Macaca mulatta: one gene and its partners. The protein of the gene in region 1 interacts with the protein of each later gene in a pairwise test. Links are inferred from orthologs where the notes say so. Each region holds a gene or a part of one and is shown in the gene's direction. Other genes may lie near its edges.

The links.
Region 2: the proteins of NFE2L2 (region 1) and MAFF interact in binary tests that used the Homo sapiens proteins (3 or more experiments, as listed by UniProt). The link is inferred for Macaca mulatta from reciprocal best matches to the Homo sapiens genes NFE2L2 and MAFF.
Region 3: the proteins of NFE2L2 (region 1) and MAFK interact in binary tests that used the Homo sapiens proteins (3 or more experiments, as listed by UniProt). The link is inferred for Macaca mulatta from reciprocal best matches to the Homo sapiens genes NFE2L2 and MAFK.

Annotation. Positions count from the first base shown.
Region 1 is NC_133417.1:82,176,156-82,182,605, reverse strand, and holds the start of NFE2L2 (nuclear factor erythroid 2-related factor 2), read left to right. Parts: upstream 1-2,393; 5' UTR 2,394-2,528; intron 2,529-4,140; exon of another isoform or gene 4,141-4,476; intron 4,477-6,450.
Region 2 is NC_133415.1:13,287,369-13,294,008, reverse strand, and holds the start of MAFF (transcription factor MafF), read left to right. Parts: upstream 1-2,563; 5' UTR 2,564-2,892; exon of another isoform or gene 2,893-2,918; intron 2,919-3,594; exon of another isoform or gene 3,595-3,660; intron 3,661-3,724; exon of another isoform or gene 3,725-3,789; intron 3,790-3,990; exon of another isoform or gene 3,991-4,196; intron 4,197-6,640. UniProt on the Homo sapiens protein: Since they lack a putative transactivation domain, the small Mafs behave as transcriptional repressors when they dimerize among themselves.
Region 3 is NC_133408.1:35,468,958-35,475,363, forward strand, and holds the start of MAFK (transcription factor MafK), read left to right. Parts: upstream 1-2,334; 5' UTR 2,335-2,594; intron 2,595-4,832; exon of another isoform or gene 4,833-4,937; intron 4,938-5,089; exon of another isoform or gene 5,090-5,149; intron 5,150-5,268; exon of another isoform or gene 5,269-5,602; intron 5,603-5,703; exon of another isoform or gene 5,704-6,406. UniProt on the Homo sapiens protein: Since they lack a putative transactivation domain, the small Mafs behave as transcriptional repressors when they dimerize among themselves.

The DNA of each region.
Region 1 (6,450 bases):
GGTAGAAACTGAAAACCAGTCTTGTTAAAGAGTTAGAAAGACTGTAAATGCGTAAGAGGAAAGAAAAAAACAAAACCAAACCATTTATCTATCCTCTTTGAACCCGTTTCACAATATTCCTGATTTCAAATACTTGAAGTTTTCTCTGGGCAATAATTAATGTTTAAATAATTGTTTTTAATGTAAGACATAACACATACGCATTGCAGATTTAAAGCATACTTGGAAGTAGCAAGGAAAAAGATAAAAATCATTGATTCCACAGCATTTAATATATTGGTAACTATCCTTCAATTTTTTTCTGGGCACATGTTTTTATAAAATGAGCCAATACTATACAAACGTTTTTGTAACTTTTTAAAATTTGTACTATTTTGTGAGTACGTGAAAAAGAAATTTGTAAAGATTAAAAGATCATAGCATGTTGTGGTATTACACACTGTTGAAGGGCGCCATCTGTGGCGTGGTGGCTGTGCTTTAGTGGGAAGAAGTTCTCTTGCGGTTCCCGTTTTTCTCCCAGCTCTGGGTAGGCAATACTGACCACTCTCCGACCTAAAGGGACTTCTCCGTTTGCCCTTGACGGAGACACGTGGGAGTTCAGAGGAGAGCGTTCAGGGTGACTGCGAACACGAGCTCCCGGCGCTGTCCACATCTCCCCTGGGCAGGGCCCACTGCCCCCAGCCCGGGAGGGGAGCAAGGGCGGGAGGGCAGTTGGCAGTGGCACGGCCTGGGTCCAAACCTTTAGCCCCCCACCCCGGCTGGCGCCACTCTCGGGCGGTAAAGTGAGATAAAAGCAGGGCAAGGTTCTGTAACTCCAAATCAGGGAGGCGCAGCTCCTACACCAACGCCTTTCCGGGGCTCCGGGTGTGTTTGTTCCAACTGTTTAAACTGTTTCAAAGCGTCCGAACTCCAGCGACCTTCGCAAATAACTCTTTATCTCGCGGGCTAGAGCGCTGCCCTTATTTGCGGGGGAGGGCAACTGAACGCCGGCACCGGGGCGCTAACTGTGGCCTCCTCTCGATCCCCCGCCTGCTGGGACCCCAGCTGGCAGTCCCTTCCCGCCCCCGGACCGCGAGCTTCTTGCGTCAGCCCAGGCGCGGGTGGGGGATTTTCGGAAGCTCAGCCCGCGCGGCCGGCGGGGGAAGGAAGGGCCCAGGCTCTTGCCCCGCCCTTCTGGGGCGGGAGGCGGAGCGGGGCAGGGGCCCGCCGGCGTGTCGCCGATCAGCGAGTGCCGGGGAGCCCGGAGGAGCCACCGACGCCGCTGCCGCCACCAGAGCCGCCCTGTCCGCGCCGCGCCTTGGCAGCCGGAACGGGGCCGCCGTCGGGGAGCCCCAACACACGGTCCCCAGCTCAGCATGATGGAGTTGGAGCTGCCGCCGCCGGGACTCCCGTCCCAGCAGGTGCTGCCTCGGCCCTCTGGGCCCTGCGGTGGTGCCGGGACGGGGGCGGGGGAGCTAGGGAACCGCGGCCCGGGAGGGATAGCCGCAGCCGGCTTCCTCCACGTCCGGCCAGAGCCAGGACCGCAGCGCTGGCTGGAGCCGCCGCGCTTGCGCTGGGGCAGGGTGGGGAGGGGCAGCGGGGACGCGGCCGGGTGGTCCGACCGACCACGAGCCCGAGGGCGAACGGGTGGGAAGTTGCGGGAAGGTCTGGGGACTGAGCCCGCGGGCGTGGGCAGTGGTGGGCGAATCCAGCCGCGTCCCCGGTCCCCAGAGCTGGGCTTCGGAGCCCCTAAGTTTGAGCGGCCCGGCGGGCGGCGGGGCAAGAGGGGCGGACGCTGGCCGTCTGAGCCGGCGCGGCCCGGCCCTTCCGGGGCTGCGCGGCTCCCCCGCCTCAGAGCCGGCAAAAATGTGCCTAGTCACGGGGCCACTCTCGGGGGAACTGAGGTCGCCTTCGTGCTGGGACCCAGAGCCCCTTCGCCGCGCCCCAAGACCTCCGTGTGTGCGGGCTGCGGCGCGCTCACACCGCTGGGCCGTCTGTGGGCGCTGCTTTGCGAAGTCATCCATCTGTCGGATCACTCTCTGGCAGCCTTGAGCTTTCTTGAAAGCTCAACCCCGGGACGAGGGAGGAGCGCCTGAAGTGCCCAGCGGGCCCAGAAGCCCCGACGTGTGGCGGCTGAGCCGGGCCCCGCGCACTTTCTCGGCCGGGGAGGGGTTCGGGCCCGGGCACCCGGAGTTGGCCTCTCGCAACGCCGCGGGAAAGTGCGGGCGAGGGCAGCGGACTCTGAGGCCGGAGTCGGCGGCACCCGGGGCGTCTAGTTCGGACGCGGTGCCCCCTGGTGGCGCGCACCGCGCGCGTGGCTTTGGCCTCTGTGACAGCGGTCTGTTGGCCGTCACAGCAGCCCTCGGTTGGCCCTTTCCTGCTTTATAGCGTGCAAACCTCGCCGCGCCAGGGCCAAGGGACAAGTTGGAGCTGTTGATCTGTTGCGCAATTGTTATTTTCCCCAGAGCGGCTTTGTCTTTGGATTTAGCGTTTCAGAATTGCAATTCCAAAATGTGTAAGACAGGAGATTCTCTTCTGTGCTGTCAAGGGTAAGAGTTGCGAGTGTAGATTAGAATTTCTATTGCTTTTAGTTTGTTAATAATTTTTTGCTTTCAGCTGTTATTTCTTCCCTGAGTACTTTATATATTTTTCCTTTTCAGTTGAGAATTTGCCTCAGTTTCTTAACATGTCCACCCTCTTTTGCAGGGGCAGAGAGTGGAACGCTTGCGTTTCAAAACACATGCTAATTTCTGTAAATTGTTATAAAAGTGAAAAGAAGTTTCAGCTCATCCTTGTAGAAACTTTAAAAGTAGATATTTATATTTCTAATTTCTTTTGTAAATGAATTTTAGGAAAAAAATTGGAATTCAAGGAAACGTGTACTTGATGTACGGTAAATTCGTTTATGCTGTTAAATGTAAAGTCTTAGGTTAATTCCAAAGATCTATTGTAAAGTTTTAAGTTATAGACAATGTATTAATTGTGCCTTTTTTTCCCCCTTTAAAGTTGTCTTGAACTTTTCCCCAATCTTGATTGGGATTATATTCTTCTGGTTCCAACTAGGGAAGAAGTAAATTGTACTTTACGATTTATTTAATAGCTGCTGTTCAAGAGTTATCTATAGGAATGCTTGTTTGACCGAAGGATATATGATAAAAATGAACTTTGGTTTTTCTAATTTCCCGAATTGTCTACAACCCTCTATTAAATTTTTCTTTCTTTGCTGTGTAATATAACATTCCATATACAAAAATGCATAAAACATATGTACTGCATTAAGTGTGTATTTTTCAATTACGTTTGATAAAAATAACTGCTTTTCTGCCTTTGTAATCAGATATCGATTTGCATATTTGAAAACAGAAAAAGAACAAGAAAATTTAGAATTGATTTCGTTTATGATTCATATTAGATTGTTGTCATCCATAAAGATTTGAACTGAGTCAAACATTTTCTTGATCTTTTGTCAAAAAAACTCTCCAGGTGTGAAGTGGTAGTAGGATGTAGTTTTTCACCTTCTGTGCAGAGGATGTGTTGATAAACAGGGCAGTAAGGAGAGCCTTAGATTCAGTATCCCCATTAGGTGGAAGGAACATCCATTACTCTTTTCAAGGGTGTCTTGGAGAGATAAAGTACTTTCCTGGATGAGGGATGAAGCTGATATTGAAATAGACCGATGAGATTATGTTTAAGTCAAACAAAAGAAAAATAGGACAGGCCTCTCATCTCCTGAATGAATGTTAAGCAAAGACCAACTTGACTTTTTAGATATGTGAAAAATCTCTTGAGAGGTTGTGGAAGCAGCATGTAGGAGGATAAATGCATAACTCACATCAGTCTTTTCCGCATTAAAAATAACTTGGGCCATTTTGAAATCTTTCTTTCTTGCCCTGGGTTGTTATAAGCAACGTTGGGGGAAAACCGACTCTGTCTTTAGGATTACCAGGAAAAGTTGAAAGCCAAATGCATCATTTTTCTTAAGATTTGTTTCTATTGAGGATAAATCATGTTTAACAAAGCTGCGTGAAAAAAAGGAACACAACAAGTACATTTTTTTTTCTGGGAATTTCCTCTGTCCTGACTGAAGACATTAAAAGGGGGTTTTGTGTCAGTATTTCCTCCTTAACTGTTCCTTGAACGTGGGTTATCTTTTCAGTATGCAGGAAGAATTTGGCACTAAGATAATAATAGATAAGTTACTGGGCACTTCCCTGGGTCCAAACATAATTGCTTCACATGCATAATTTTACAGTAACCTCACGGGAAATACTATTATCCCTGGTTTCCAGGTTGGGAAAACCAGAGATAATAGTTAGATCAGGCATTAGGTTAGGAAAGAGGCACAGAGAAAGGCCAAGACCTGCTAAGGTGACCAAACTATTGAGTGGCCAAGGTAGCATTCAAACAGGTTTGACTCCTGGGGGCTCCTAATCACCACTTCCAGACTACCAAAACTCCTTAAACTTTAAATAGGAAGAAAAACTCACACTTCAAAAGGTGAGTAAGTTGAGATTTGCCTATTCTGGGGGAAGGAGAGGCTAGAATGTAAAAGATTGATGTTTGCAGCTTTTCCATTTAGCAAGACACTTAATCACTGTATGACTGGGGGAGGTGGACCTTGTTAAATGCTGGGAGAGTGAATACAACCCATCAATGGGATTACCCACTGTGGTCCTTTTCAGGAAGACACAGAAGCCTCGGTGGGTTCAATTTAGAGAGGCAGGACTGTTTTTTTGTTTTGTTTTGTTTTGTTTTGTTTTTGAGATGGAATCTTGTTCTGTTGCCCAGGCTGGAATGCAGTGGCCTAATCTTGGCTCACTGCAACCTCCACTTCCCGGGTTCAAGTGATTCTACTGCTTCAGCCTCCAGAGTAGCTGGGATTATAGGCACTCACCTCCCGGATAATTTTTTGTATTTTTCGTAGAGATGGGGTTTCACCATGTTGGCCAGGCTGGGCTGGTCTCGAACTCCTGACCTCAGGTGATCCACCCGCCGCGGCCTCCCAAAGTGTTGGGATTACAGGTGTGAACCACTGCGCCAGCCTGTTTCTTAATATAATAAGTTTTTTAAATTCCTGGGGTCTTGGCAATGTCTAAGATTCTGCCTCACAGTTTTCAGGAACTGTTTCCCTTTGTTCTTAATTAAATCTCTTTGCTACTGGAGTCTTTGCCTTTGTTCGCCTTGCTAGTTGGTACATTTCTTCTGTTCCATTGGCGCTTTTTGTTTTGAAGTAGTGCTCAAAAATAAGTTTGGTAGTAAGAATATGGTGAAGACTGTGACGGACAGGGTTAAACCAGGTTGAAGGAAAGAGCAGAATGGGGAAAATTTGAGTTGAAAACAGCTAGCAGAAACCTGATGGCGCAAATTCAACCCTAATCTCATGTTTTGGCACTTTTGAACTATAGCAAGCATAAGGGCTCAAGTCTTATCTAGTTGAAGCTAACTTGGGTCTTTGAGAATAGTACATCTCAAAATTAAACACTTTCTTAGTCCTTATTGTTAAACAAGTTGTTTTTGGAATTATTGTCTTATTTGTCTGAATTAAGTGTGCTGCAGGACTTATAGGATCTGATGGATGATTTGCCTAAAAGTTAGTCCAGGTCAGCCTTAGGGCATTTAAGTGCTTGGTCCAGCCACTTTCTGAAAGTTGACTGAAATATGTTGCACACCAGGGTAGAGGAGGACAAGTTTACTAGATGTCATTTTTAACCTGCTTGTCTTCATCTCTGACTGTAGAAATGTTTATTCATTGTAAGTTTGCCATAAATAGAGAACAGAGTTTATTTTTTTGATCATTTAATTTCTAGGAGCTATTGAAATTTCACTGCTACCTGCTTTTAAATAAGCACCAACAAACATTTATTAAAAGGGCTTTAAGGTATAGGCCAAGATTTATTCAATTGCTAATGGTATGTTTTCTGTAAATGAAAGCAAAAATATGTTCAAGTATATAATATTAAATATTAACATTCAGAAACTGTTGGAGAAATATATATGGCTTTCTTATACCAGACTATACCCCAGACATGAAAACAAGACTGTTGAACAACATCCTGTGCTACTTAAAGTTTGAGCCTTCTATGTGTCAGCTTCTGCCATAATAACTTTGAACTATGACTATTAAGTATATTAAGAACTTTGAGTAGGGGAGGCACTTTTAATCATTTGTTTTTATGGCATATGTACTGTAATACCTGTGTGTTGCAAATCCTGGTGTTTAAAAGTCTTTTTGTGTATTTGAGCATGTAAGTTTATTTGGCCCAAACTGTTGGTACTAGTAAAGACAAGTTCAGGGCATTAAGTAGGACTTGGACTTACAGCACCAAGTTCGTCTTTCTTTTTTTTTTTTTTGAGACAGAGTCTCACTCGGTCACCTAGGCTAGAGTGCATTGGTACAATCTCGGCTCACTGCAAGCTCTGCCTCCCGAGTTCAAGCGATTTTCCTGCCTCAGCCTCCCGAGTAGCTGGGAT
Region 2 (6,640 bases), on another chromosome or scaffold:
AGACCCCCATCTCTGCAAAAAATAGAAAAATTATCCAGGCACAGTGATGCACACTCGTAGTCCCAACTACTCGGGAGGCTAAGGTGAGAGGATCGCTTGAGCCCAGAAGTTCAAGGCTGCAGTGAGCTATGATCATGCCACTGCACTCCAGCCTGGGCAACAGGGCAAGACCCTGTTTTGTTTTGTTTTTATTCTTAAATGGGGTGGGGAGTAGAGAAAATAGACTCCATTGTGCAGTTTCTAAAATTAAGAACTTTTGTACCCCAAAGGTTACAAAAGTTAACCTAGGTGGCTCTTTTAGCTATGCACATGGAGAGGAGTGAGCAATTGGTTTTTTGAGTGCTAGACAGAGCTGCCTCAACATTTGGTCATCTGGGAAACTAGTGGGCCAATTTGCATACCAAACCCACGGCCTGTGGGAGGGAAGGGAAAGAAGTCATAGTGTCTGGTGGACCAAGGCACAGAGGCAGGAAAGCAAGACAAGGGCGCTGAAATAGAATTCGCTACATCAAGAAGAGCGGGGATCCTTGCTGGTGATCAGGGTGCCACACAGAGGTCTCCCCATTTGGAGAGGTCCTATGCCCTCCACAGTGGAGGAAGTACCATGATGTCGGCTTCACAGGAGAGACTGTGGGAGCGATGGAATTTCAGGCAGTGGGGACATCATGAGCAAAGGAAAGCGCGGGATGAACAGCAACACCCACCCCCTATGTGGCCTCTGAAGCCATCTCTTTTGGGTGGGGCTTCCCACCACGGCACACAGCCCTCATGTTTATGTGGCCCTCCTCCCCTGCGATGTACCCTGGGCCAGGAATCATTCAGACCTGGATTCCAATTCCAGTGCTGGTACTTCCTAGCCAAGTGCATTTAGAAAGTCACTTTCACCTCTCTGAGCCTCCAGTCATGTATTCCTTCAACATGTATTTACTGTGGGCCTACTACGTGCCAAGCACTATTCCAGACAGTGGGCAGGCAGTGTGAACAAGATAAGCCTGGCCAGGCGCAGTGGCTCACATCTGTAATCCCAGCACTTTGGGAGGCCGAGGTGGGTGGCCTGAGGTCAGGGGTTCAAGACCAGCCTGGCCAGGCATGGTGACACACCTGTAGTCCAGCTAATAGGGGGCTGAAACACGAGAATTGCTTGAACCTGGGAGGCAGAGGTTGCACTAAGCCAAGATTATGCCACTGCACTCCAGCCTGGGCAACAGAGTGAGACTCTGCCTCAAAAAAAAAAAAAAGAAAAACAGACAAGGCCTGCCTTTGTAAAACATACATTCTGGTTGGGGAAGACAGACAGACAATAACCAGCACTCACATACATAAATGATGAAACACCCTACAGAAGTATTAAGGTAATATAAGAACAAATTTCAAGGCTGGGTGTAGTGGCTTGCACCTGTAATCCCATCATTTTGGGAGCCCAACATGGGTGGATTGCCTGAGTTCAGGAGTTTGAGACCAGTCTGGGCAACATGGCAAAACCCTGTCTCTAAAAAAAAAAAAAAAAAATACAGAAAAGAACCTGGCATGGTGGTGCGTGCACCTCAGCCTCCTAGTTACTTGGGAGGCTGAGGTGGGAGAATGGCTGGAGTCCGGGAGAAGGAGGTTGTGTCACTGCACTCCAGCCTGGGTGACAGGGTGAGACCCTGTCTCAAGAAAAGCAGTAATAATAAAAATAAAATTTCAGAGGTGAAGATTGCTTTAACCAGGGTGGTCAGGAAAGGTCTCTCTGAGGCAGTGACATCTGGGCTGACATGAAAGATGAGAAAAAGCCAGGCAAGTGAACAGAAGGCGAGACAGCCAGTGCCAAAGGCCTGTTGCAGGAATGAGCTCGGTATGTTTGGGGGACAGAAAGAAGGGCACTGTGGCCGAAGAGCAGTGGATGGAGAGAAAGTGGCCAAAGGAGGTGTGTAAACAACCTGAGCTTTGTTGAACATTGAGAAGAACATTGGCTGGTGTAGAAAGAAAGACTTTGGAGGCAAAGTATGGAGCCTATCTATCCGGAGGCTGCTGCCATTGTCCGGGTAAGCTGATGGTGCTGAGACCAGGTGCCATGACTGGAAGTGGTGAGAAGTGGTCCTATGCAGGAGACCTGGAGACACCACTAGCTTGAGTCCTGAGGTGGGAAGGAAGGGAGAGTGAGGGATGGAGCCAGGCTCCCAGGTTTTGGCTTGAGCAGCTGAGATGGGATGGCAGGGGAGTGGAGGTAGGGCTGACATCAGGAGCGGTCTTTGGGCCGAGTCCTCTGCAGTCCCCATCTGACACCCACTGGAGGTGCAGAGTGGACAGCTGGCTATGAGTCTGGAACTGAGAGAAGCTGTTCGCTCTGGAAATACACACCTGGGGCTCATGGTCATAGATGTCATTTAAAGCCACGGGACTGGATGAGATCATTAAGGCAGAAGGTGTAGGTCGAAAGAAGAGGGCCAGGACCACTGACTGCAAAATGAGCCAATGACACCTACACCCACGGGGCTCTCGCGACGTGTCGCGTGAACGCACCCAACGAGCACTGGAACCAGAGCGGCCCCGGGGGCGGGGCTACCAGGGGGCGGGGTCAGACGGGGGCGGGGCCGAGGGACCAGGCGGCCGCTGCTGGCCGGAGGGCAGCCGGGACGGTGACGTCACCGCATGACTGGGTTTTTATGAATGAAAGGAATCCTGTGAGTGAGTAATTCCGGGAAGCTCGCCTTACAACTCCGCGCGGCCTCGGCCCCCTGCGCCGCCCTCCCCACAACAAAACTCAGCGCGGCGCTCCAGAGCGCCCGGTTCAGAGCGACCTGCGGCTCAGAGCGGAGGGGAGACAGACCAGAGCGCGGGCCGGGACAGCGGCCGGGACAGCGGCGAGACGCGCGCGTGCGAGTGCGCCGGGCCAAGAGGGCCCAGAGGCGGGTGAGGAACGCGGGGCCAGGAGGGCGGTGCGCGGGACCCCGAGGCGGCAGGGTTTCCCGCCCCAGGACGCGCCTGGGGTGGGCGCCGGGGCCCGATCCGTCGGGGCTCCCGGGGCTCCATCGCCCGACGGCTCGGGGCGGGGAGAAGGGAGCGGCCGTCCCGGGGACGCCGAGGACGGGGCCGAGGCCAGCTCGGCGGAGTGGGGGTGGAGACGGGGCCCCTTCCCGGGGCGCGGGCGGGGAGGCGGCGGCGCCGGGGAGGAAGGGGCAGCGCAGGCTGGCGATCTCCGCGTCCGCCCGGCGGGGGCGGGGGCGCTGTGCTCCTACGTGACTTCGGTGGGAACAGGCCCTGGCCCGGCGCCGGCGGGCGGTGCGTGCGCGGTTTGTTTACGTCTGAGGGCGGGCGGTCGGGCGTGTGTTCCCTGGCGGGCGGCCTGGGTATCCTGCCCGGTGCGTGCGTGCGCGGTGTACCTCGGGGGGCGTGTGTCTGTTGTGCTGTGTGTGCGCGTGTGTGCTTGTGTGTGCGTGTCCGCGCGCGCGCTCCCTGGGGCCTGTACACCAGCGGTGTGTACCTCGGAGAGGGCGTGCCCTGGGCTGGCCACCGGAGTAAACGCGGAACAAGGACCCGAGCGAAGGAAGCGGACCCATGCGTCTTCACACGGGGTCTGGGAATTCTGGCCCGGGCCTCCCCAGTCCTACTTACCCAGGGCTGTCCGGTCCCCGCTCTCCCCGGAGTTTCCCAGGGCCTCTGCCACGTGACCCCAGTGTTTGTCCCCCGCCCAGAGCCGGTGCCCGCAGCCACAGGGTGGGGCAAGGTATCAAAGACCCCACCCAGCTAAGCTAGGAGCGAGGGGTGTGAGCCACCCCCGCTTGGCACCCTGGTGGATCTGGTAACAAAGTGAGTTGGAGCCCAGGTTCTTGTCCCCAGATTTTGGGGCTCCCTAGGGAGGGAAAACCCAACGTACTCTCCTTCTTCCCAGGGTTGCCCATCCCCTCAGTCCCGTGAGAACAGGAAGGGCCAGAAAACCTTGACTGCAAAGGTGCGGGGCAGGGAGAGGACCACAGGCTTTCTCGCTAGTCCGGGTTCTGGAGGCTGTACCTGCTAGGTCTTGGAGGATGGGGTGGAGCCGGTTTCCGCCCTCCTGGTAGTTTCAGTTCGCAAGTGGGACTAGTGAGACCAGACTGACCTACAGCTGGACGCCGGAAGCTAGCTGAGGCTCTGAGCCAGCCGGCAGACCCCGAGTCCTCACCCTGAGCCAGGCAGGGTCAGCAGGCAGTGGGGATAGGCCTCTGCACGAAGGGTTAACGAGCGAGGGGTGGGGCCTGACCTAGCCACCACCTACCCACTCACCCAATAGCCCTGCAGAAAGCACCTGTTTGTTGTAGCAGCCTGCAGGATGGGCTGGGGGCTAGAGATTCCTTGGTCTTAATCCACCTTCCCCCTCCACCCACCCACAGGCTAGGGAATCATGGGAGGGGAGCAATGGAACTTCCTAGTGTGAGGAACCAATGATCTTTTGACTTTGGATCTTTGAACCCTGGGTGAGCTCTGCTGCAGCAGCTGAGACCCTCAGTGTTCCCATCTGCCACTGGAACTAGATAACAGCCAGGATGGCAGGATGGTGGGTAGAAGGGGGAAGCTCTGGAAGTCTCAGACTGCAGGCAGCATATTTTCCAGGTGAATTGTGGAAGAGAAAGAGCCGACTGCCCCATGCCAGGAGCTGGGGGTACCCAAGAGTAGGTCAGGGGGGTTGGGGCCAGGAGCACAGGAACCAGACAGGCCCACCCTCAAAGCTGGGCAGGAAACTTTCCAAAGTAGGGCCTGGGGTCAGGGGATGAGGGGAAGTGGCTGGTTGACTCAGTCCCAGATGAAAAGTTAGCATTGAGAGGTTTAACTTCCCATTGAATCACCCCTGGGCCCTGCATTGCCATTGGGCCCCTGCCCTGGACCAGATGCCAGGGATGAGATGAACAGACCAGATCCAGAGACTGACCTCTGGGAGCTTACAGCTGAGCAGTGGACACAGAGTTGAAGAAAGATCCACAGAAGTAAATGCAAAACACAGCTGAGATGGGTGACGTGAGGGAGAAGTCACTGTGGTTTGAAAGTACATAACAGCGCTCTGACTTAGCCAGGGCAATCAAGGAAGGCTTCCCTGGGGAGGTGACTAGTGCACTGAGTCTGATAGAGTGGTGGTTGTCTGCAAAGCCCTTGAAGGCAGGAACTGTGATTCACTTCAGGGTCTCCAGGGCCCAGCACAGAGCCTGGAACACAATGGGTGCTTCTCGAATGTTTGCTGATTGCATGAATGAGCCCTGGATCCCTGTCCTCGAAGAGCTCCACAACATATGCAGAAAAAGGCCTGGGAACCCCAGAGAAACAGGAAGCCAGGGCAGAGGCTGGAGGAATCTTGAAGCAGTCTCCCAAAAGCGAGCAGATCCTTCAGGGCTCAGGCAACTTCCTCCCTCACACACACAGGCATGCACTGCCCGCTTGTCCCTTTGGGAAACATTCAGGGATAGTAGAATTTGCTATCTGTTCATTCATTTGTTAGCATATGATCCTGGGAGAGAGTGGACAGGAACATGGTTGAGGCCTGAGGACCCTACTGTGTGGGCTTGCGGGGAGGCTGGCATTGCAGGGTTTTGAAATGGGCCAAGCACGGAGAGGCTCGTGGGTTTGTGTCAGTAGTGATTCCTCTGACAGCTCTTGCGGGAGGATCAATGGTGGGGATTGGAGACAGACGGCAAGGCAAGAGGCTGGTGAGCAGGCAGCTGTGGTCATGGTCCAGATGAAAGAAGAAGTGGTCTGTGGCTGTGCAGGTGGAGAAGAGGGCTAGTCTGATAGTCTGATAGTTTGCGTCTCATGCCCCCACCTTCGGGAAGCCTTCACCACTTTCCTTTCCCTGCCTCTATTCTGCTGGTGGTCTTGGAGCTCTGAGCCAGAATCTGAAACTCTAAACTCGGAGATAGTCATTGTTGGAAGGTACCTTAGACTTGGAGGAGGTTTGGCGTATTGGGAAAACTGAGGCCCAGAGAGAGGGAGTGCTGTCCCTGAAGCCACACAGCGAGTGTGAGAGGGTGCCCGAACTAGGGCTGGAACCCCAGGCCGTTGCTTCTCTGTGGTGCTGGGTTCTCCCAGCCTTGCTCCCCTTCCAGCAGGGAGGCGGCTCCAGCAGAGCTGGCTGCCAAGACCTAGGAAAACACATTTTTTCCCTCTGTCCTCACAGAGCAAGCAAAATGGCTCAGCAGCCAGAGAGGAGCCCATGCCAGCGGGTGGGCCTTCTACAGGATGTCTCTGGAGTGGACTGCTGGGGCCAGGGAGGGGGACGTTGGAGGGTTGTGGCTGCTGACTGGACAAGGCAGCTGTCAGTCCCTCAAGAGTCACCTCTCTCCTTATGCCTCCAGAAGACGTCATGGACCTCCAGACCCTGGAGGTCAGCTCTGCTGGCTTCCAAGGGAAGAAGCTAGGGAGAGGCGGTGGTGGCCGGAATAGAAGAGAGAGGACCCCTGGGTTCCAGTCCACCACTGCTACCAAACAGTGGCTTGGTTGCCTCCGGTGCCTAACAGGGGATTGGATCAGCTACTATTTCTCAGGCCCAGGGTCCGCCAGCCTGGCAAAGGCAGAGGACCCATGCCCCTTGGCAGCCCCTGGCCTGGGGTTGCCTGCGGAAAGCCTGAGGTTACCAGAAAGTTCCCCCTTCTTGTGACTTTCCCTCTGTGATTGCCTGACTTTGCTGAGCTAGGAC
Region 3 (6,406 bases), on another chromosome or scaffold:
TAATCCCAGCACTTTGGGAGGCTGAGGCAGGTGGATCATTTGAGGCCAGCAGTTCGAGACCAGCCCAGTCAACATGGCAAAACCCCGTCTCTATTAAAAATACAAACATTGGCTGTGTGTGGTGGCTCGTGCCTGTAATCCCAGCACTTTGGGAGGCCGAGAAAGCCGGATCATGAGGTCAGGAGATCGAGACCATCCTCGCTAACACAGTGAAACATCATCTCTACTAAAAATACAATTAAAAAAAAAAAATAGCCGGGCATGATGGCAGGCACCTGTAGTCCCAGCTACTCAGGAGGCTGAGGCAGGAGAATTGTTTGAACCTGGGAGGCGGAGCTTGCAGTGAGCCAAGATTGCGCCACTGCACTCCAGCCTGGCAACAGAGTGAGATTCCATCTCAAAACAACAACGACAACAACAACAAAAAACTAACCATATGTGGTGGTGGGCACCTGTGATCCCAGCTACTCGGGGGGCTGAGGCAGAAGAACCACTGAACCCGGGAGGCAGAGGCTGGAGTGAGCTGAGATGGTGCCACCGCACTCCAGGCTGGATGACAGAGTGAGACTCCGTCTCAAAAGTAAATACGGCCAGGCGCAGTGGCTCACGCCTGTAATCCCAGCACTTTGGGGGGCCGAGGCGGGCAGATCACGAGGTCAGGAGATCGAGACCATCCTGGCTAACACGGCAAAACCCCGTCTCTATTTTAAAAAATACAAAAAAATTAGCCGGGCGTGGCAGTGGGCACCTGTAGTCCCAGCTACTGGGGAGGCTGAGGCAGAAGAATGGCGTGAACCCAGGAGGCGGAGCTTGCAGTGAGCTGAGATGGCACCACTGCACTCCAGCCTGGGCGACAGAGTGAGACTCTGTGTCAAAATAAAAAAATAAATAAATACAAATTAAAAAATTAAAAAGATAATATAACTGTGCGATTAGTAACAAAAGCCTACTATGGAAAGAATGCAGTTGGGTTAGAGCAGCGACACCATGAGTAACGTAAAGAGGAGACGCTCACAGCTTCTCTGGAGGCTCCCAGCGCATCCCAGAACCCCAAGTGCAAAGTGTGGGCCGGGACAAGGGAAGCAGCTTTCCCATCCCCCGGGGATGTCTTTCTGCAAACATCCTGGGGACGTGGGACATTGTCGCTACTGCTGCTATTTCTTGGCACCTGTTTCTGCAGCCAGGTTGCAGGCATCACTGTGTCTGGCTACCCCAGACGGCAGCGTGGGCCTCAGCAAGGAGGCGCCTCCCAGGTGGTCAGAAGTGGGGGTCAGAGATGGTCCGGGAGGCTGCCCCCTCGCTCCACAGCAAGAGGCCACTGGGCGGCTGCCTAAATCCCCAGGCACGCGGTGGTAAGGATGACACCCAGAAGATGCACAGACCTCCCTGTCCTTGCTCCTGAGTCCCACCTGAGCCGAGAAACAGGCTCCCGAGTCCCACCTGAGCCGAGAAAACAGGCTTCCCAGAACCCTGGGCAGATGCCGTGGGTGCCCTGGTTGGCCAGGCCTGAGACTCCTCTTCCCGCAGCGCTCAGAGGAGGGCGGGACTTGGGGACCCAGAAGCTTGGTAAGGGGCTCACCCTCCCCTCTGAGGGACTCTGGACGGGTCCCCACTCCAGCCTGTCCTCCACCTGCGACAAGAAGCAGAGGCAGCTCCCTCAGGGACCTGCTCCCACCTGAGGATCCCTCACAGGACTCCTTGGGCCAGTGGTGCCCTAACCCCATCCTGGGCCTGCTGTGGCCCCCTGGCAACCAGCAGCTGGGGCTTTAGAAGGGGGCTGGCCCCACTCACAGAAGCTGTGACCAGTAGCCGCTTATCCCCATTTTTACATTGCTGGTTTGCTTGTTTTGTTTTGTTTTTTGAGACAGGGTTTCACCTTGTCACCCAGGCTAGAGTGCAGTGATGAAATCATGGCTCACTGCAGCCTCCACCTTCCAGGTTCAAGCCATCCTCCTGCCTCAGCCTCCTGAGTAACTGGGACTACAGGCACATACCACCACGACCGACTACTTTTTGTAATTTTTTGTAGAGATGGGGGTCTCACTATGTTGTCCAGGCTGGTCTGGAATTCCTGGGCTCAAGCGATCCTCCTGCTTTGACCTCCCAGCGTGCTGGGATTACAGGCATGAGCCACTGTGCCCAGCTGGCCTTAATGTTTTTTATGTTTGTAGAGACGGGGAATGGGGGAAGGGAGGTTTCGCTATGTTGCCCAGACTGGTCTTGAACTGCTGGCCCACAGAGATCCTCCCGCCGGGCCTCCCAAAGCGCGGGAATTGCAGGTGCGGGCGGGGCCCGCGGACCCCCGGGCGGGAGAGGAGGGCGTGCCCGCGGGGGAGGGAGGGGGCGTGGCCCCAGGGGGGCGGGGCGGCGTGACGCGCGCGCCGCGGATCCCGGAAGCGGTGTCAGATGCTGGGGAGCCGGGCGGGCGGGCGCGGTGGCGGCGGGCGGCGGGGGGGAGTTGTTGTTCTTCGTGAAGTCGGAGCCCGAGCGCCAGGCGGCGGCGGCCGAGGGGAGCGCGAGAGTGAGCGCCGGCGCGAGGACAGCGCGTGCCCGCGAGGAGCCGCCGCGCGCCCGCGCCCTCCGCTCGACGCCAGGTGAGGGGCGGTGGAGCAGCGGGGACCGGGCCGCGGCGGGGACGGAGACCGGGACGCGGGGCTGGGGCCACCTGGCCGCTGAGTCACGGCCGCCCGGGGGCGCGGGCCGAGGGTGGCGGGGTTGGGTGCGCAGGGCCCGAGACCCCCATGCGGCCCCCTACGCGGCCCGCGCACCTGCCCCGTTGGGCCCAGCCCCGCAGGCCCAGGGGGCTTCCCCGGGACGCGAAGCTCTCTGCCCTGCACGTGCCGCCCGGGCCATGCTTCCTAAGCCCGGGGCCCTGGGGCGTGGACCCCAGACCTGGGAACACGGGAGTCCACGCGAGTCGGCGGCGCGCATTGTGCCCGCGCCTTCACACCTGCGGGGGGCGGGGCGGGCGCCACGTGCGGGCGGCGCGGGGAGGGCGCGGGCGCGTGGATTCCCCGTGCCTTCCGCCCCAGCGTGGCTTCCGCGTGCGGCCCCGGCCTGCCCCCCTCGCTTCCTCCCGGTGACGGGCGGCGCTGCGGCCCACGCGTGCCCGTGGACGGGGTGGGGGTAACCGAGTCTCCCTACAGGCAGGATCCTGGGACTGGTGTTGCTTTCAGCCGCCCACCTGCCAGGGTTGCTGGAAGGAAGGCCGTGGGGAGGCAGGAGGGGAGCAGGTGACAGGGGCCCCAAGGCGCGTGTCCCTTTGCTCACATGTGGGGCAGGGGCTCAGGCCTCTTCCCGCTCCCACTGCGTGGGTTCTTCTGTGTCTCTTGTCAAGTTCAGGAAACTGTGTTATGTGCTCGTGACGCTGTGTGTGTGTGTGTCTCTGTTTGCACACCCTCAAGATACTGGGGGGGTGGGTCGAGGCGCCGCGGAAAAACCCAGAAAGCCAGGACCCCGCCTGGCCTTGGCCCTTGACCTGGGTCCCCCTGGGGTACAGCAGTGGCCCTGTGCTGCATTCTCACCCTCACACCGTGTGTGTTCATGTTTGCGGGGCCTCCTGTGTCCCTCTCCCCGTGTCCTGCATCCCTGAGCATGCTGTTTCTTGCTGCTTAGGCGGCTCTTGTAGCTGAGGCAGAAATCAGATCCACCATTCATTCACCAGGTGACCCACAGGCAGCCAGCCACTCTCTGGCCAGGTGCCTGGCCTTGGGACGATCCTGGGACTCAAAACGCCCCCCACTGCGGGACACCGTGGACTAGGGGATATCACTGTGGTTCGGCTCCGGCACTGCCCTTCCCACCCCTCTGATTCTCCAGGGTGGGCTGCCAGGTCTCTACTGGCACTGAGGTTTCACTATCACAGTGTGTTGTTGTAAGGGGGTCTCCAACATGGAGTGGGATGCCCTGTGCAGCTTCTCCAAGCCCAGTGTCTTCAGAGATGTGGAGTATTGAAAGAGCTGTGGGCGGGGTCTGGAGAACATAGGTGGGCTGTGCAGGTGTCTGGGACACACCTACATCCTATTTGGGCGTCCAGTGCCGTTTAAGAGAACATCTCCCCTTCTTAGGTAACCCAGTAGGAATGTCTGAGTTTGACCTTGGGAGAGGGAGTCTGCTTTTTAAAACTAGACCTTTCATTATTCCAAAATAAGACATTTACTAAAGCAGAAAAACAAACCAGGTTTCTCCTGCCTTTTATCCTTGAGCTGAGCCAGGGCTTTGAGGGGCTGGTTCCCTACAGCATTGATTCCCCAGGTGCTGGTAAACCCGGGAGCCAGCGTTTACCAAGGGTTGGGGCTGTCGGGGCGCCAGCCTTTGTGCGCACCCGGGAGGCCGCTGTTAAGTGAGACCGTCTTCCGGGCCACTCTGCTGTCTACAAGGCGTGCGCTTTCACCCACGGGGCTCGGCGATGGCTGCGTTTGTTTACAGTCTCCAGCAAAGCTGTTTGCCACCCAGACCGAGAAGAAGTTGTGCCTGTTCCTGTCCCAGCTGTTTCTGAGTCTAAAGGTTTCTGGAGTGGACTTTCTGGGTTTCGGGTCCAGTCCACACGGGAAATGGAAATCTGGCCAGCTGGGAGAAGGCTCCGTGTGGCTGCCTTTCAACAGTAAACAGTGACTCACCGCTCCGTCCCCACCCTCCCTGCTCTCCGCGAATGGAAGATACCTTTCCCCGCTATTTATTTTTGCTTTTTATAAGTCACAGACTCCGTCATGTTTCCGCTTTCCTACAGTTTCAGGAAACTGGGAGTGTCGTCTTAAAATCATAGAGTTTTAGAGCAGGTACAAATGAACCTGAGAGGTCACACGCCCCACCCCGACCGGCCGCTGTAGATGAGGAAACCCAGGCCGTGACGTCTGCTGGCCCGTCCCAAGGGCCGGTGGGGTCTGGTGTAGAACCTGCCTGCTTGTTCGCACTGCGCGTCGGGCGTCCTGGGGAAGGTATTGGGGTGGAGACTGCCCTCTCGCTGCCCTCCCGTGCGGGGCCGGCTCATCTCGTACAGTGGGAGGCTCGTATGGGGTGTAGGGAAGACATGCTCCCTGCTTGCGAGGAGCTCACCACACCACGGGGAGGGCCCCGTCCCCAGAAGGATCTAGAACCAGGCCTTGGTAGAGGGTGCTTGCCTACGCAAGGAGAGCAGTGGGGAGCGTTTCTGGAAGAAGCAGGGCTTGAGGGGGGCAGGGGGCCACGTGCTCTCTGCAGATGGGGGTGATCAGAAACCTGAAACGGTGTTGGGGTGAGGGGGTCGGGGTTTGGGAGGAACCCCAAAACTTTTGACTGCCTGTGGGGCTGCGTGGGGGGCACCAGGATCAGGGTGAGGGCATCCCTTTGGCAAAGCTGTGGTCCACACTGGAGAAGCTGGAGGCCGGAGCCTGGGCAGGTGCTGCGGGTTCGGGCGGGAGATGCTTGAGGGCTGGGATCAAGCCCGGTTGGAGCGTGGACGAGGAAAAGAGACAGGGGTGGGGGCAACTCCGGTGAGTGATGCGGTTGGGGGCTGGGGGGCATCTGGGCCCCCCGGAATGCCCCTGGTTGGACTTGGAAGCTGGGAGTGGATTGAAGCCCCAGGTTGGCCGGGGAGAACAGGACGCTGACGGGAAGCTGGAAGCTGAGGACAGGAGGATGGTGTGGTGGGAGCCAGGGCAGGGACTGGAGGAGGTGTGGTGTGTTCTGCAGTTTGCTCTCTGCTGCTGCAGCTGCCTGAGTCACCTCTGGATGTAGCGGAATGACACAGCTTCCTCAGACTGCAAATGCAAGGTGACCAGACGTCCTCCAAGCCAGGCGGACAGTCGTGGCTTGCTGGAGGGCAGCCAGCCAGGGCCAGGCTGCCGGCTGGTGCGGGCCGGGCTGGGGGGTGCCAAGTGGGGTGCCTCCCGCATTTCCCATGTCCAGGACAGCCGGACAGTGGGGGTCCTCATCCTCAATAGGAAGGGTGTCTGGCTGGTCTCTGGGAGCAGCCGGGCTGCAGTTAGTCGGTTGACACCTGTTTGGCAGGTGCCCACTGGGTACCAGTGCCACAGTGGCCCCACCTACCCTTGTGGCCCCCTGTGGAGGGTGCCTGGCTTGGGGTCTCTGGCAGAAAGGCTCCTGGGAGAGGCAGGTACACCCTGGGCGGCCTCTGGTTTTGTGGATTGCACCTGTCGTGGGAGTCACTGGTGAGGGAGAGCGGGAGGGTGCTTACTGCTGTGCTCCTGGATTTCTAAACCCGAGTCTCGAACACAACTCCCGTCCTCCGTTCCTGGTCTTCCTCCCACCCCTCCTCCCTCTCCCGCATCCCACAGCCTCGGAGACCCGTGGAGGATAGAAGTGGAAGGGCCGCTCCGTCTCGGTCAGACCGGCTGGGTGGCCGCGGGGGTGGGGCGTGGGGTCTGCCTTGTCATTCACCCCTTGGGAGAGAACAAGTGACCCATCC